Linked DNA regions of Arabidopsis thaliana. The protein of the gene in region 1 interacts with the protein of each later gene in a pairwise test. Each region holds a gene or a part of one and is shown on either strand. Other genes may lie near its edges.

Evidence for each region. The genes of interacting proteins can lie anywhere in the genome.
Region 2: the proteins of ENA (region 1) and AT1G06510 interact in a two-hybrid assay, tested with the Arabidopsis thaliana proteins (one large-scale study listed by BioGRID).
Region 3: the proteins of ENA (region 1) and TKI1 interact in a two-hybrid assay, tested with the Arabidopsis thaliana proteins (one large-scale study listed by BioGRID).

What each region holds. Positions count from the first base shown.
Region 1 is NC_003074.8:6,037,162-6,041,162, forward strand, and holds ENA (DnaJ/Hsp40 cysteine-rich domain superfamily protein), read left to right. Parts: upstream 1-2,246; 5' UTR 2,247-2,478; coding exon 2,479-2,613; intron 2,614-2,690; coding exon 2,691-2,787; intron 2,788-2,906; coding exon 2,907-2,961; coding exon of another isoform or gene 2,962-2,971; exon of another isoform or gene 2,972-3,042; coding exon 3,043-3,163; 3' UTR 3,164-3,472; downstream 3,473-4,001. Other genes in the region: AGD15 (ARF-GAP domain 15), read left to right, coding at 556-606, 698-756, 847-937, 1,020-1,074, 1,163-1,253, 1,349-1,550, 1,700-1,891; AT3G17670 (tetratricopeptide repeat (TPR)-containing protein), read left to right, coding at 3,696-4,001.
Region 2 is NC_003070.9:1,990,174-1,994,463, forward strand, and holds AT1G06510 (forkhead-associated domain protein), read left to right. Parts: upstream 1-2,055; 5' UTR 2,056-2,215; coding exon 2,216-2,372; intron 2,373-2,533; coding exon 2,534-2,733; intron 2,734-2,850; coding exon 2,851-3,287; intron 3,288-3,370; coding exon 3,371-3,410; 3' UTR 3,411-3,668; downstream 3,669-4,290. Other genes in the region: AT1G06500 (uncharacterized protein), read left to right, coding at 3-413; AT1G06515 (transmembrane protein, putative (DUF3317)), read right to left, coding at 778-790, 1,270-1,342, 1,711-1,795; GPAT1 (glycerol-3-phosphate acyltransferase 1), read right to left, coding at 3,997-4,290.
Region 3 is NC_003071.7:15,521,044-15,528,380, forward strand, and holds TKI1 (TSL-kinase interacting protein 1), read left to right. Parts: upstream 1-1,876; 5' UTR 1,877-2,055; intron 2,056-2,425; exon of another isoform or gene 2,426-2,486; 5' UTR 2,487-2,508; coding exon 2,509-2,650; intron 2,651-2,737; coding exon 2,738-2,820; intron 2,821-2,897; coding exon 2,898-2,945; intron 2,946-3,044; coding exon 3,045-3,154; intron 3,155-3,599; coding exon 3,600-3,684; intron 3,685-3,783; coding exon 3,784-4,063; intron 4,064-4,268; coding exon 4,269-4,379; intron 4,380-4,479; coding exon 4,480-4,634; intron 4,635-4,726; coding exon 4,727-4,965; intron 4,966-5,061; coding exon 5,062-5,737; intron 5,738-5,815; coding exon 5,816-5,944; intron 5,945-6,025; coding exon 6,026-6,202; 3' UTR 6,203-6,453; intron 6,454-6,588; 3' UTR 6,589-6,715; downstream 6,716-7,337.

The DNA.
Region 1 (4,001 bases):
GATTTTGAATGTAACTCGTATATAAAGATCTTAGATATGAAAGGGCTCTGATTGATGATTGTCAAAACAGTTTAAAACCGCAGACTTACGTGGGGTAAGAACACAAAAATAGATTTTTGCTGTAACCCTTTAGGCTCAGACGAGAGAAGATGCTAACCTGAGCTGAGGAAAATGAAGGTAAAGGAGGGGTTTTTGGTGATTCGCCGATTGTGACGCCGGTGATAGGAGCGATTAGCACCGAGAAGGGATGAAAAAACGATTCTTTCAATTGGGTTATCGAAGGAATCTTCGTATGAGCATAGTGATCAAGTCGGGTTTTCGAGAGCTAGGGATTTGAATTTATTGCTTTGCTTTGACTCCATGTTGGATTAAAAATAGAGAGATGATGTGTCGCAGTGACAGATATAAAAGGGTACGAGAAACCGTCATTTCTTTTCTCTCCTCTCCTTCAAATCCGTTCTTCCTTGAAACCATTTTGGCTCTCTGTTTACAAACTTGGTTTGATTTTTCAATTGCCTCTGTTTCTCTCTCATTCTCTGATTCATCTTCATCAGAATGAACAGGAAGGCCTCTGTTTCCAAGGAGCTCAACGCCAAGCATTCAAAGGTCCCATCTTTTTTTCTCCTCCTTTTCGATTTTTCACCATTGGTTTTGCGTCTGGAAAGTTGAAAGGTTAGAGATTTTGTGTGGGTTATAGATATTGGAAGCACTTTTGAAGCATCCAGACAATCGAGAATGTGCAGATTGTAGATCAAAGTAAGCATCTTGATAACATTATCTCTTTCATGATCATGTAAGAAAAACGATTTAGGAGCATTGTGTTGTTTGGATCTATCTATTTTACAGGGCACCAAGATGGGCAAGTGTGAACCTTGGGATATTCATTTGTATGCAATGTTCTGGAATCCATCGTAGCCTTGGCGTCCACATCTCTCAGGTCCCTAAATAATCTCTCTTTTAATTGATTGTGTTGTAAATGGATCATACAAATTAGGGATACTGATGAATTTTGGACACAGGTAAGGTCTATAACTCTGGATACATGGCTTCCAGATCAGGTTGCTTTCATGAAATGTAAGCTCCTCTTTTGTATATAATGAACACATTCAGTAGTTGAATTTTGTATCAATCCCATAGCTTGATCATCTTATTCTCGGTCTAGCTACCGGTAATGCTAAGGGAAATGAGTATTGGGAATCAGAATTGCCTCAACATTTCGAGAGAAGTTCAAGCGACACGTTTATAAGAGCCAAGTATTGATTCTTTTCTATGTTCGCTTTTGCTTCCTCATCTGCTACAACACAACTTTAGCTTGAATCTTTTTTTCTTCTGTTCGTGTGTGTTTTAGATACAGTGAGAAGAGATGGGTTTCACCGGGAGCGATTCAACCGGCTCCTATAGTTAGCCAGCTAAGCTGCAAAGTTAGTCACTTGGTAGAGAGTGGATATAAACCTGAAACTCCAAAGAAAGCTAGAACTCTTTCACTTGACGAAGAGATCCTTCTTCATCATGTTCTTCAAGTAACACCTCCAGAAACGAGAACTCGTGCGGTATGACAACAAATCTATATCTTTTTGGGTTCTGGTATGATCACTAGATTGGAAATTCATTCAGTTTCCTTGTTTGTCCTGTGGCAAGAATTAACAAAGCTTTTGTAGAAGGATTTTGAATCATTTCCATAAACTGTTGTGCAATGCAGGGTTCGGTAGATATGAAGGAGAATGTATATGTTGTACCTCTACCAGAATTCAAGAAACCAAATCAAAAGAATGAGAATTTCTCCAGTGAAGTAAACCAGAATAGAAGAACCACCATAGCACCACCGTCGAGCTGGGCTACTTTCGACTGTAAGGCCATGATTCAGGCTTTTCTTTTTTTTATCTTCTGTTAGTTTTGAGGTTTTGATTCTAAATCTCTAATGTGAAACAGGAAGAGAAAAGACTCTATGAAGACGAAGAAGATGGAGGTTTTGGAAAAACAAGAATCATCATGTGGGCTTTAATTTTAGTCAAAAGGTTGGCAAAGATGGGATGATGAACTCAAAGTTGGTTCTGTTTTCTAATTCTTTATTCATTCATAATCCAATTTTGGTTGCTTGTAACAAAATCATTTTTAATTCAATGGAAGAGAGACATCTTTGAGTATTTGACAAAAGAGAAAGCAAATACAAGTCACCAATGTGATTATTTTTAATTGCTGGACAAGTAACATCAATTGATTGGTCCACCATACTCCATAACAACCGTAATGATTTCAATAATCACTTTTGAGTTTGTGTTTTATTTGGTTTACACTTTACATAGGAAACGAATAAAATTAAATCAGACCTAAACACACTAACTCGGTCCGGTTTGGTTAATTTTCTTACGGGTTTATTGAGAGATGGGCCTTAGGCCCGAGAGAGAACACAAACTGGAATGAGGAAGAGGAACAGAACAGTTGTGGTGTGTTACGAGTTACGACTGAAGAGTGACGGAGATGGCGGTGAACGCGTGTCTATCTCCGCCGGAGATGATGGCTGTCCGGCCAGGGGAAGGCGTTCCGAATTCAAAATCTACGCAGGGAAAAACTAGGCTCTATCTCACCAAACCTTCATGGATAGTCAGAACTCAGGTCTGAAACCAAAAACCCCCAATTTCTATCTCTAGACTCTTGATATCATTAATAAGAATGAATTCAATGGTTAACAGTCTGGAGCTAAGACGTGTATGAAGTCGAAGGCGAAAGGACGATGCGTAATCTGCCATGGAAGTGGAAGAGTCGATTGTTTCAATTGTTGTGGGAAAGGTAAAGATAAATAACTTCTCTCTCTGGTTCTCAACTTTAAATGTCTCTTATGATTGATTTCTTCGTATTAACTACTTCAGAGAATTGAATTCTTGCTTTTTTGTGATATATGATTGAAGGGAGGACTAATTGTGTGGATGTGGAAATGCTTCCAAGAGGAGAATGGCCTAAATGGTATTCTTGAGGCTTTTATATCTGTTATTTGATTCAAGAACTAAAGGAGTTCAAAATTTTTTTTGGTTGTTTTGGTCACAGGTGCAAGAGTTGTGGAGGGAGTGGATTAAGTGACTGTTCTCGCTGTCTTGGCACCGGAGAGTACAGATACATCATGGGTTTCCGCTTCTTAAACCAAAACGATGATGCCGATCCACAATAATGATTTGGAGAAACTCTTAACGATCATGTCCTTGCCAGTTTTTGTATATGTCCAATGAGGAGGCTTAAGACTTGTTTAGTAATGTTGTATATGGTTGCTCCTGACTTGTTAATATTGTTTGTAATCTTCAAGGATGTTGTTGCAAGTAAAGAGAAATCACCAGTCTACAAGTTCTTTAGGAAGATAAATGAAACGTAGCCACCGTTAGTTTTATATTCTTAAGCTTACATTGCAAAATTGTTGTATCTTGGCTTTGTACTTACTAATGGTATATTTGGATTCTTTAGTATAATGGGAAGGTTCTGAGTCAAAATTTTAGTTATGAGCTGTCTAATTTGATTAAGAATTAGTCTAGTGATGTTTTATCTTCGGCTTTGAGTGTGAAACGAAGCAAAATGGGAGCTGATTAGAGTGTACAATTGTGATATCCGGTTTAGTCAAACCGGATTTAATACATTTTAATTTGATTATCTCGGTTTATTTAGTCAGGCGCGCATCTTTCTTCTTCTTGTGGTTCGATATTCTTATCGTTATGTCTTCCGTCGCTTTGCCGGCGATGAGCTGCCGGAGCTCAGGTGAACAAGTGAAGGAGATTCGCGTTTGTACGAATCGCACCTGCCGAAGACAAGGCTCCTTCCAGATTCTCGAGACTTTAACAGCTCTCGCACCTCCCGAACTCCGAGTCACTCACTGCGCTTGCCTCGGCCGATGCGGCTCCGGTCCAAACCTCGTGGCTCTCCCTCAAGGTCTCATCCTACGTCACTGCGCCACGCCTTCTCGAGCTGCTGAAATTTTGTTCAGCCTATGTGGTGACGGTCGTGAAGCTTCTTCATCCTCC
Region 2 (4,290 bases), on another chromosome or scaffold:
CGATGATGCATTCGACGGTGCAGCATGGGGGAAACAAGAGTGGCAAGTCAAATGTATGGGCTAATACTAACTTGGCAAAGACAGTGGCAGCTGTAGATGAGTTCAAATTTGGATTCCCATCAGGCGGGTTAACAACTGTGTCAAACAAATGGTGGGGAAGGGCAGAGAAAGGCGGACGAGAAGATGGTGGAGGAGAGAACACTGAAAATGGACATGTAGCAGCTTGTGATGAGACGCAAAATTCTTTGGTAGCTATTAGGAAAAGAATAGCGGAAGAAGGAAGAGAAGCGGTTGAACTTGGTCTGCATCAAGGATTTGGTTCAAAAAGACCAGGCAAGAGAGATCAAGCTTTGCTGTTTCAGATCTTCAACTCTGCAATGCCAAAGGATTGGGTTACCCCTGATTCTTCCTAAGTTCGTTTGTAGATTTAGAACAGAGCTCCCTCTTAAAAATTATGCTCTGTTATATGTAATCCGCAAGTTCATTAACTCCTGCAACTATGTTATTATGTCTCTAAGTGAACTGGAAATACAACAGGAAGACTTGCGATCTTACGAGTCTACAAAATCATTTCTGTTAATTGCAAAAACATGGGAACAAATAATATAGAGACATAAGAACTGTCCTAGAGCCTTTGGAGGAAAATTAACAAAAACAGAGGTGACGCCGAAAGAGGGATTTTTGCTGGTATACGTCTCAGAAATTGGAACCAAACGTACATGCCTTTGGATGATCTAGGCTTTTCGTGCTCTACTGTGCGAGAAACAAGACATGTTTTCATGTCAAATGCCTGCAATGCGAGGATACAAGAAATTATCATGAAAGAGCTTCAATTGCTTCTCAAAAGTTTCGAACAATCAGCATAATAAGATTCAGATAGCAAGCAGCAGCAGTAAGTCCATCAGGCAAACTAAAGACTTCTCTAACTCCAATCCAATCACCTTCTGGGGAGGCTTAATATCTACCCTAACTAAATGCACAAGAGAAGGTAGGATAATGTTTAAGTAAATGATGGACTTATCCTTTTGTGAAAACATATACTACGAATCATGGGAAACCGTGAAACTTGTTTCAGAGATGAAGATGAGGCCAAACAGCATATTGTATCATAACACTCATCACTTAGAAACCCGCTAATGAAACCATAAGACCAAAGTAGCAAAAAGAACTAGATAAGTACCAAAAATTGTTACAACAATAGCAAAATTAGTGTCAAGGAAACCTTAACAAGCTTAAGGTGTGCGCAAAGAGCATCATCAAGTGTTTTACCTCTGGAAAAGCTCCGAAAAGTAGCGAGTACCGTTGTATAAAACGAACCACATCAAAACAACCACCAAAGAATCTGAAAAGAGTTGAGGAAAGGCAAAGAAGATGCAAGCAAAGATCTTAAGTCCTTGTAAACTAGCAAAAAATTATCTCAATTGACAGTATATTATTCAGTAGAGACTATAATCCAAACTCTGAAGTTGAAGACAAAATTTTAAGAAAGTAGCTTTTTAAAAACAAAATTCTAAAATTGAACAGACACAATGCTTAAGACGACAACACAAGAGAACAGAACACAATGCCACCATATATCACCAAAGATGTAAAAATCAAAACTTGCATCTTTCTAATGAAAGGGTAAATCGAAATTGGAGCACAGATAAACCAAAATCGATGGAGAGAACGAATGAAGCATGGAGGGATAGAGTGAGGAAAAAAGGATACTGAAGAGGTATCGTTCCCACCAATCAAGCATGTAGAGCCCGAATGTGACATTATAAAGGTAGATTTTGCGTTGAACCCAGTTCATATCTTCTGATCGATTCCTACAGTAAGAAGCGGGAGATTACAAATCTGAAATTGACAAAAACCTGATCCAAGATTCAAAATTTACCCGGTAAATCTCTGACAGAGAACTTGACAAAGATATACTAAACAGGATTACAAAGCGCCTGGAGATTCTCGATCTAGGGAACTGTATCTGACTCCAGATTTTGATTGAAGTGTCGTCGTCAAATACAGAAGAGAAATCAAATTTTGACGGAGACGTCAAAGTTGGAAAACTCTGTCACGGTAAATACTAATCTCATCCTCAATTCATTTTCCCACCCCGGTTTAGTCTTAATTACCGGTTTAGATGAACCAGGTATTCAAAATCGGTTTGTAGAACTAACCGGATAACGGAGACTGCAATGTCACAGAACGTGTGCGCTTTGTAAGAAGACCAAACATGGTGACGACGACCATCGGCGGAGTTCCGGTGGTGATTGCTCAGTCTCGGAGGATTCCAACGAGCCTGAGATGCTTCTCTGCCACCGCAAATTCTGACCTTCTTCGCTCCCAGCTTGATCGGCTTCACGCGGAGGCAGAGTCCACTCGTGCCAAAGGTGGAATCTTTATTCGCTAATCTTCGTTTTAATGTGTGATTTCAAAGTCGTAGACTTTGGAAAGATGAGGTGCTGGTTTCAGCATGGTTTTACTGCTTGTGAATCCAGTGATTGATGATGTCAATTTGATTTATTTTTGGTCTTTGTTGTTGTTGGTCCAGCAAACAGTAATAGGTTGAGACTTTTGAGATTATCTGAGGCTGCAGAGAATCTACGGGAACAAGCAGCTGTCAATGTTCGAACAGGGAAAGAGAATGATGCCAGAGATCTACTTCTTCAGAAGAAAAAAGTTATGCAAGCTTTGGACAAGGCTAAAGCTCGTATCGAGTTGCTCGATACGCTTTCTTCCAAACTTAACGAGGTACAAACAAACAATACTCTTACTTGTTAAGAAATGTTATTGTTTTGGTTGTTTGTTTGTTTTCAATTGCCCCAGAAATCTATCTAACTATGTCTTGAAAGCTTGGTTTGGTTTCAGGCAATATCTGTCAAGGAAACACAGCTGATAGGCAATATATCTTTGGATCTCGAAGAGGATGGAGAGAATACTTCAGGTGGTATCCACATTGTATCGCCAAAGCCCGAATCTACTGAAGACGGGGTCGAAAATGACCACACTCACTTGGATTCTGAGGGAATTCAACTTATTGAAAGGAATGTTGAGGATTACCAAGAACTTCTTGATACCAATAATAATGTACTAGAAGATGTTTCAATAGGTAGCATCCTGAAAGAAGTGTCTTCTTATGAATCTTTCTTGGAAAATTTAGACCAGAAACTTAGCAGAATCGAAGCTGAACTAGTTACTGTTGTAAATGTTGCATCCTTGGTGCTTAATCATGAAGATAAACCCAAGAATCTTAAGGTTCAGCAGACTGCAGAAATTCTTGAAGAGATTCGTCGTGTGAGGGAAAGGTAATGCATTCAAAGCATCACTAAGTTTTACTTCTAACACTGCAGAATTACTCAGTCCATTAAGTTTTGTTTTGCTTGTGTAGAATCGCAAATATCATTTGCAAAGAGGCAAACATCAGTTAGTGTGCTTCAAGCATTACTTACCAGCGCAGTGAACTAAAGAAAGGAAGCCACTCTTGGTATGAAAAGTTAATCTAGCAATTTTCCTTTCTTTAATCATTCTGTTTAGACAGGTATAGTCATTTTCTTGGTGTGAATATTAATATCTTCTAAGGTGATACATTAAATTTTGATGTGATATGAAGTTAATATGGTCGTTCACGTTAATGTTGTTGTGATATGGGATCATGATTATTAATGTGATATCAATACTTAGGAGCATCATTAAGTAAATAATAAGTGAATAACATACTATTAGATTAGATGTATACAATTAATATTGATTTCAACTAACTCTGAAATCATTTCATTTGTTCTAGGAATAAAATTAATGGCACTAAAGCGACAGGTTGAGATTATGGACTATACAAATCCAGAAACAAAATCATATAAAGCAAACATTTTCAATACATATCAATGGTCCCGAGTGATAAGAAATAGAAATGATGCCAATGAATCAACCATATAGAATTAAACATCTAAGTCCTGAAATAACAATAATATTTAGCTTTTCAAACAAACAAAAAAACTAATGAAAATTCGGAATAGTTTATCTGACAATGCCTTCATTTCCAGCAAGAACCAAGTACTTATCCCTCCTTGTGAGATTAGTGCATTCAAATCCCAAAACCCTAGCAAGTTCTCCCTGTATGAAATTCGCAACTTCAAAGCTTGACTTGCCTCCTGCACAAGTCATCTCTTTTGGCAACTTCTTTAAAATCTCAAGACAATAAACCGGCCTAGGGTTCATGAGGAAGAAGATAGGGTCTAAACACTTGAGCCCGCTCGCAGTTGTCCCATAGAACATGCTCACTCGAGCATCTACAGCCACGGGAACAATGTC
Region 3 (7,337 bases), on another chromosome or scaffold:
AGATGTTTGACCTGGCTTCAGCCATTCCATTTTCAACTACTTGCATATTCTTGCAAATATACAAAGCGTTGGTGTCCGGGTCAGATACGAGCTAATATGAAGATGATCAAGTGCTTGGTTACACAAAACCACCATGTCAAAGATTTTATGCGAAAACCTAAAACACGAGCATGCATGTAGCTCGATTGTTCAACCAGAGAAATCAAACTCGGAGCTATACCGAAATTATGTTCTGATTGGACTAATCGACTTATAGACGCATGTTTTCATATCTAAGTTTTTGATGGCCTTTTTAGTCCATATAAGTTTTTTTAAAATGCAGCATACTAATATTTGAATTCAGACTCTATTTTGATCTAGACCTACTAGGAAAACTCAAACAAATTGAGTTTAGTGATATATTGAGAGGTAAAATACTAAAATGGTCTAACTAATACAACTTACATGTTTAGTAGAACTTAAATTATGCTTTATTTACAAGACTAAAAGAGTAGTTAAACTTGAAATCTTAAACTGTCGCCGTAGAAATAACAATTGGGTCAAGAAAAGTTTTCTAATCCTTATCAAAATAGAAAAGTTTTCTAATATAATAGAAAAAACACCCGTAAGTGGGAAAACATCTTCTACAAACTTAATAAGAAAAGGATATACATATCTCCAATCCACATGCGAATAGTTTTGGGTCAAATCTCTACGCTTCGCGTAACAAATTGAATTTGTCAAACAATTTGAGCATGACATGATGAAAAAAGGCCAGAGTCATGTTAATTCGTCGTATCGTAACTCCGACTTCTGACTTTCTCCATTCTTTTTAACGAAACGATAAGTCAACTTTTAACCGAAAAGGACTACAAGTCAATTTATTCATTAATGCTCTACGTGCATAGGTTATACTTATTGGTTACCCTATAGAAGTTGAACCGTGAGATCAAAAATCATGTTAGATAAACCGGCTCCGTTCTTTGTGACGTTGACATATATTTTTCTTAGGCCAGAGACTATAGCTAGATAAATAACTCCATTCTTGGCTGCTCGTAGGATACGAACCCAAAACTTGGTCATATTTTATCTCAAAAATAAGATCCCAAAAAATATCGACTATTAGAGCTATCGATACCATACGTGTTTCAAAGATGTAAATTTGAACCCCTCTACCTTGAAAGCGTGTATAAGGCTTATTTTCTGAAAAAAAGTGTTAGCTCATCTAACATATACAAAGATTAAAGATTGGATCGTTGACAGAAGAAAAGATTTACAAAAATTTGGATCTTGTGAATTAGTTACTATTGGGCTAAATAAAAGCCCATGTATGTATTTATTGGACCAGACCTAATTTTTGTACCAGGGCCTGAGGACTATATCCAACACAAACCACAATTTCAAATATTATTTTGGCGTTTTAACTTCTAAACGCTTTATCTTTATCATGCGACTTGCCAGATGCCAACCCAAGCCACGTGCATTACGATTCAACTAATTTTTTGTTGTCTTTTTTTCCCCTTTTTAACGAGGCAAAATAGTAGAAATATTTTTCTATTTTCATGAAATTGTAGAAGAAAATAGTAAAATTTCCGAATTTTCCTAATCTATAGTTTCACTTTAGATAAAATAATACTTAGCGTGACGAAGGCAACTGGCTTATTCAACTTTATGTGTTTAATAAAAGATAAAATAAATAATAATTTCGTATATATTTCTCTCCTTTGTTCATAAAATAATTAAAATATTTTTGATTGATTCTTTCGAAAAGTAAAAAAACTCATTTAATTACAAGAATATAATATATGTTAACCCACCATGACAAACATATATTTTGACATCTTAGATAACAAGTAACTAAATTAATTACATTCCTTTTTATTTTATTTTCTTTTTAATTTTATGTGAATGTAAAAAACAAGAAAAAAAATAAAATTTATTTTTCTCTCTCGCTTGGTTCAACCGTGGTTGTTCATCGGAAAAATATCTTCGGCTTCAATTTCGTTCGATTTACCCTAAATTCTCGACTAGTGTTCGTCAATCCCACTTCCAATTCCACATTTCAAACCTTTTCAGGTAATATTTCTCATATTTTTCGTGTTTTTTTTCGGGGTCAAACTTATTTTTTTAAAAATTTCAATTCAAATTTCGAGTTTGTATTTAGTAACCCTAGTTCTTAATTTTTCAATTTTTCGTCTTCCCTTATGAGATTTAGCTTAATTAGGGTATTGAATTAAGTAGAATTGGGTTTTTGTTTTTGTTGTGATCTGGTGAAATTAATTTTAGGGTTTTATTGAAGGTGAAATTTGTTTGTTCTTCGTTATATCTTCGAAATTAGGGTTTTTCAAATTTGTGTCGTGGATGTAAAAATTATGAATTGCCTGTAAAATTTTTCTGTCGGTTGCTAAATTTCTTGTGATTTTAGTTGATGATCGCTATGTAGAGTTTCGCCTTTTTTTTGGGATTTTGAATGTTCATGGTTTAGGATTCATTGCTCTGATTTGTAGGAAGTTGAAATCAAAAGCATGAATGCTTAAACAGTTTACGCATTATTGCGAAATGCAAGCCGAGCTGATACCCGAAGGTCCTAACGGTGAGGGCCGTTTATCAAACCAGAACAGCAACCCTAATTTACTCTCTTCTGCTTCTATCAGTATTACTCAGTTTCCTGGTATGTTGCATTGATTTAAAAGTTGTGCTTGTATGCTTGTTTTGTTAGCTTAGTTGATTTTTTTTAATGGAAATGGCGATGTTGCAGCTAAGAAGCCGACTAGGCAATGGGCTGCTTGGACACATCAAGAAGAGGAAAGTTTCTTCACTGCTCTTCGTCAAGTTGGAAAGGTATCACCTTGACGTTCTTCTTCTCTATGTTGTTAACCTGTTATGTGTGTGAACCTTCTCTTTGTGTTGTTTTGTAGAATTTTGAGAAGATAACTTCTCGTGTTCAGAGCAAAAACAAGGACCAGGTTGGTTGTTTTAGTTTTGTGTTTGTTTTCTTTTCGCTTGCACTTGCTGGTGTTTGCTTTTAGTTTCTGATGGTTGTGGAAACTTCTTGTGATTTGCAGGTCAGGCATTACTATTATCGTTTAGTGAGGCGTATGAACAAACTTTTGGGCCCGGATCTGAGCCTTGATGCCAAGAACCCAAAGGACACCAATGCTGCAATGCTACGATGGTACTTGATTTATACATTTCTTTTCTGTTATGCTTTGTGCTGGTATGGTAGATTGTTACGTTATCGTAAACAAATGATGAATATCACTCTCCGGGTATTTTTCTAGATAACAAGTTATAGCATGTTATGATACTATGAGTATTATTAAGTAGGCATGGTCACATTCATTTAAGGGTTCCATTTGCGTAAAGTAATTTCTGTAGTATAGCTATGCATTTCCTGCTAGTGACAATATAATGTTAAGGTAAGGTTTTTTGTTTTTTTCATGTGCTTTGATAATATCTGCCAGGAACCTCATACATGATCAGATAGTAGCAACTGACTTATATTTCAGACATCATAGCTTCTTCCATTCTCCTAGATGACATGATTTCACATATCATGATCTTAATTATCACTCAGCTCGTCTGACTAAAGTAAACATGCTTTTTCATGTGTCTTGCAGGTGGTCTTTGCTTGAAAAGTATAGCTGCAAAGCTTCAAAACTTCATCTCAAGCCCCGGAGATTCAAACTATTTATAGAGGCCTTGGTTAGTTGGCAAATGCGAATTTCGTTTAACCCAAAACCACCTTGGATTTGACAAGGAATCGTTTACAAACTATTGTCTAACAAAACCTTTTGCATGAAGGAACACCAATTGCTGAAAGACCGCAGAAAGAGCATAAGAAAACGGACTTGCCAGGGAGAAAATCTCTCTTCTGCTTCCCTCGGAAACATCTCAAGTCATAGTAGAGAAAGAGGATTGGATAACCGTCCATTTAAACTTATTCTCTCCGACGGCCAAAATGTTAAAAAGCTAGGGCCTGGAAGAGCATCTACCAAACATGGTGAAAGCTTAAGTGTCAACCTTGGTGACGAAAAAGAAGACACAGCCTTTGGGAGAGGTGGAAGGCAACGGCGAAAACAAGGTTCTTTCTTTACTAGTTTTTATGCATGTTTGTTAGATAGGCAGTTTTCTTCAGCCCCATATTGTGTGTGTTTTCAGTGTTCACACAAATTTGGACATTATCTGCTTTTAATCTTCCATGTTGATATTAGATTTTATGTTGCTATTTAAAAGCTTGATGTAGTTCCAGGTTCTTACGTGACTCTAAGCATCTCTTCCTTTTTCAGCAGGTTATAGAAAATGGGAAAAAGCTGCAATAGATGGGGTCTCTCTGGTTGCTGATGCTGCAGAGCATTTGGAACGAACATCAATTGACAAAGATATGGATGATCAAACAGGTTTACTTACTAGTATTGGATGATAGTTCCTTTTCTTAGATATATGTTTTTTGAGGACTAACATGTGCAAATTCTAAATCAGATTCTCTTTTTATCTTAGATTTAGGTCCCACAAGATATTTAACCGGAAAGTCTCCACTTTCTCTATGCTCAGCTGGTGATGTTCCTCTCAGTGATGCCAATATGCAGTTTTCTGCCAAGCTTAAACTTCAGCTGTTCCCGATTGATGAATGTACTCGAAGATCCTTGGAAATGGTAAGCTTCAAATAGGAATTATACTGATTGGAGCAATAATTTTCTGAGACATGAAATGGAGCTTGATCTGTTAACACTTAACACTTTAACAGGATAAGCACAATCCGCATCTTGAACTTACTCTTAGTAATCGCAAGAAGATATCATCTGTACTTGAACATCTCAATCGCAAATGGGGAAGCTCAAGTTGTGCGACTGGAGAGCTATTGCTATTTCCTTACAACGCACGAAAAGAAACTGTAACGTGCCATCAGAGGTGGACCCATGACTCTTTTCTAAGCGCAGCAGAAGTGCATTCAATGGTCGGAAGTCCTTCGGTTTTCCGCTTAAGGTTTGCTCTCATATTTTCCTAGTCTCTTGCAGGTTTCTTCTCGTCAAATTGTCATACAAGATAAACCAAAATTAATTTACTTATATGTATTTGCAGGTATGGTTGGTTTGTCCATGATGCGTCAGGTTCTATTATTTCTCAAGTTCCAACTTCAGATCCTTGCCCTTCACTCGAGGATGACATGAATGTGGATAGGTTGAACGAGGTCAACATGCTCCTTACTGAATCAGGACCCTTGTCTGTGCATTCAACTGCTGAACAAACGACATCTGTAGAGCCCAGTCAGGGTCTAGTATGTGCATCTGGTGTCCATGATCGTCCCGCAAGATCTAGAGATGATTATGAACCTGCTTCAACGAGTATTACTCCACTTGAGCATTTGAGCGGCGGTAATGCACAATCACCAGGAGAATGGGCTGATAGTCTTACTAACATAAGTATAGGTGATCTACTTTCTGAAGTGCCCGATGACATAGATAGTGATGGTGTTGATCCACCTGCCACCGAAGGTTCACATTACCTCCTTCGAGATGTCCCATTTACCTCTGACTCTTTTGATGCTGCAATTGCTGCTCATATACTAAGACACCAGAACAAGCCAAGTGCTCAACTACCGCTGACTTCTGGCTCTTCCTCTCTGTGGGATGATGAAGAAACACGTGATGCCTTCTCTTTCCAAAAAAATCGTTTCGCAAATTCCACCGAGCTGGCTAGTGTTGCTTCTCCTAAAGGTGTTGGCAGAGTAAATGGAGAGCCTTCACAGTTGGTGGAGGTAACTATATCAGCCTCAAATTCCACTTCCCTCAATTGTTTACAAAACTAAACCATCTGATTCAATACTTTCTCTTAGGCTTCATCCGGCGATGAGGGATCTTATAACCCTCATGACGATGGAGATCCAATGGAAGAGGGTCCAGCAGACCCTCATACGATGGATTCTCCAGGGAAGACCCCTTGTGGACTTGCGGATGTATACTGGGTAAATTTAGAAATCTCATATATTTCCCCAATGTAAAAAAGTCATATATATTCAACAACAACACATGTTTCCTCTTTGCAGCCCGACTCGTTAGGACCACTGGATTTAGACATTAGATCGTCAAAGTATACAGATGATTTGATCCTTAGTGAGAGCCTCGGGGGATTGAGCCGTCTGATAGCAACCAGCCTTGATGCGTTTCAGAACTGCTCGCTCTTTGGGTTCGACAATAAGAAGGACAAGTCTAACATGGTATGAAATGGAACCAAAGCTAAAGCATGGGGTCCAAATGTTGATAGTTGAAAAAGAAAGTGACTTCTTGCCTTTTGAAAAAAGAAACTTTTATCACCAACTGATAGCTTCACTGTACAAAAATTTGATGTAACCTTTTACTCTTCCTTTCACACATTCTTTTGTGTTGATACATGTTTCTCTGTGTACACTTTTACTGTTAATTTACATGTTTATTTGGCTACCATGCCTTCTTTCTTTTTTTTTTCTTTTTTTTTGTTCTTTTGTTTATAGAAGTTTCATGACAAATAAGAATTTCAATTAATATTCTTAAGTTCTTTTAAGAGTGCGAGTAAAAGAACAATCGTAGGACGCAAAATTTAACTCGCTCATTCAAGAGTAGTGTTGATAAGTCCTTTTTTTTTTCATTTCAATATTCTACCCGAAAAAGATTCCAAACTTCTACTTTTCTACACTTGATCACCACTATAATCGAAGATTTATGAACAATAGACTCTTTAATAAAGTAAATAAATCATTTAAAACTAAGTTTGTTTGTTGTCTTGATCATATGTGTTCAAATTGGTTTTCTCTTCTATTCTCTACATTAAAACATCCTCCAACATTCAGTTTTCTCACTCTCAATGAACCAGTAATACACACCCTAGGTGCACTAGATTTCATTCAAAACTAAATCTGGTTCACTAAACCAAACCATATTGATTTTCAGGAGGAAAACCACTTTTTTTAGTGTGTAGTACGAGTAAGTTTACACCCTGAGATGCAGGGTTTTTTCTTTGTCTTTTGCTAAGTGCGTGAGATGCAGTTTTACCCCTAGTTAGAGGAAAACAATGAATTTGTGTAATTTTAACATTTTCTTGTTATGAGGAATATGCTCTGAATAATGAGAACCATACAAGATACAACAATGACATAAGCCAAGTTGTCATAAAAGGCCAAATGTGCTTTAATGTGTGATACACCGCTTTACACTGGCCTACTCTTTCACTTCACGTCAAGTTCGTAAACGAAGAGACAATCTCTACGTGCCCTCCCCTTGAATATTCAGCATCATCTTCTTTTTTTGAAATCAAATTTGACGGCTTCTGTTGTCACAGGATATACTATAGACAACAAAACTACATATGATACAAGGCATATT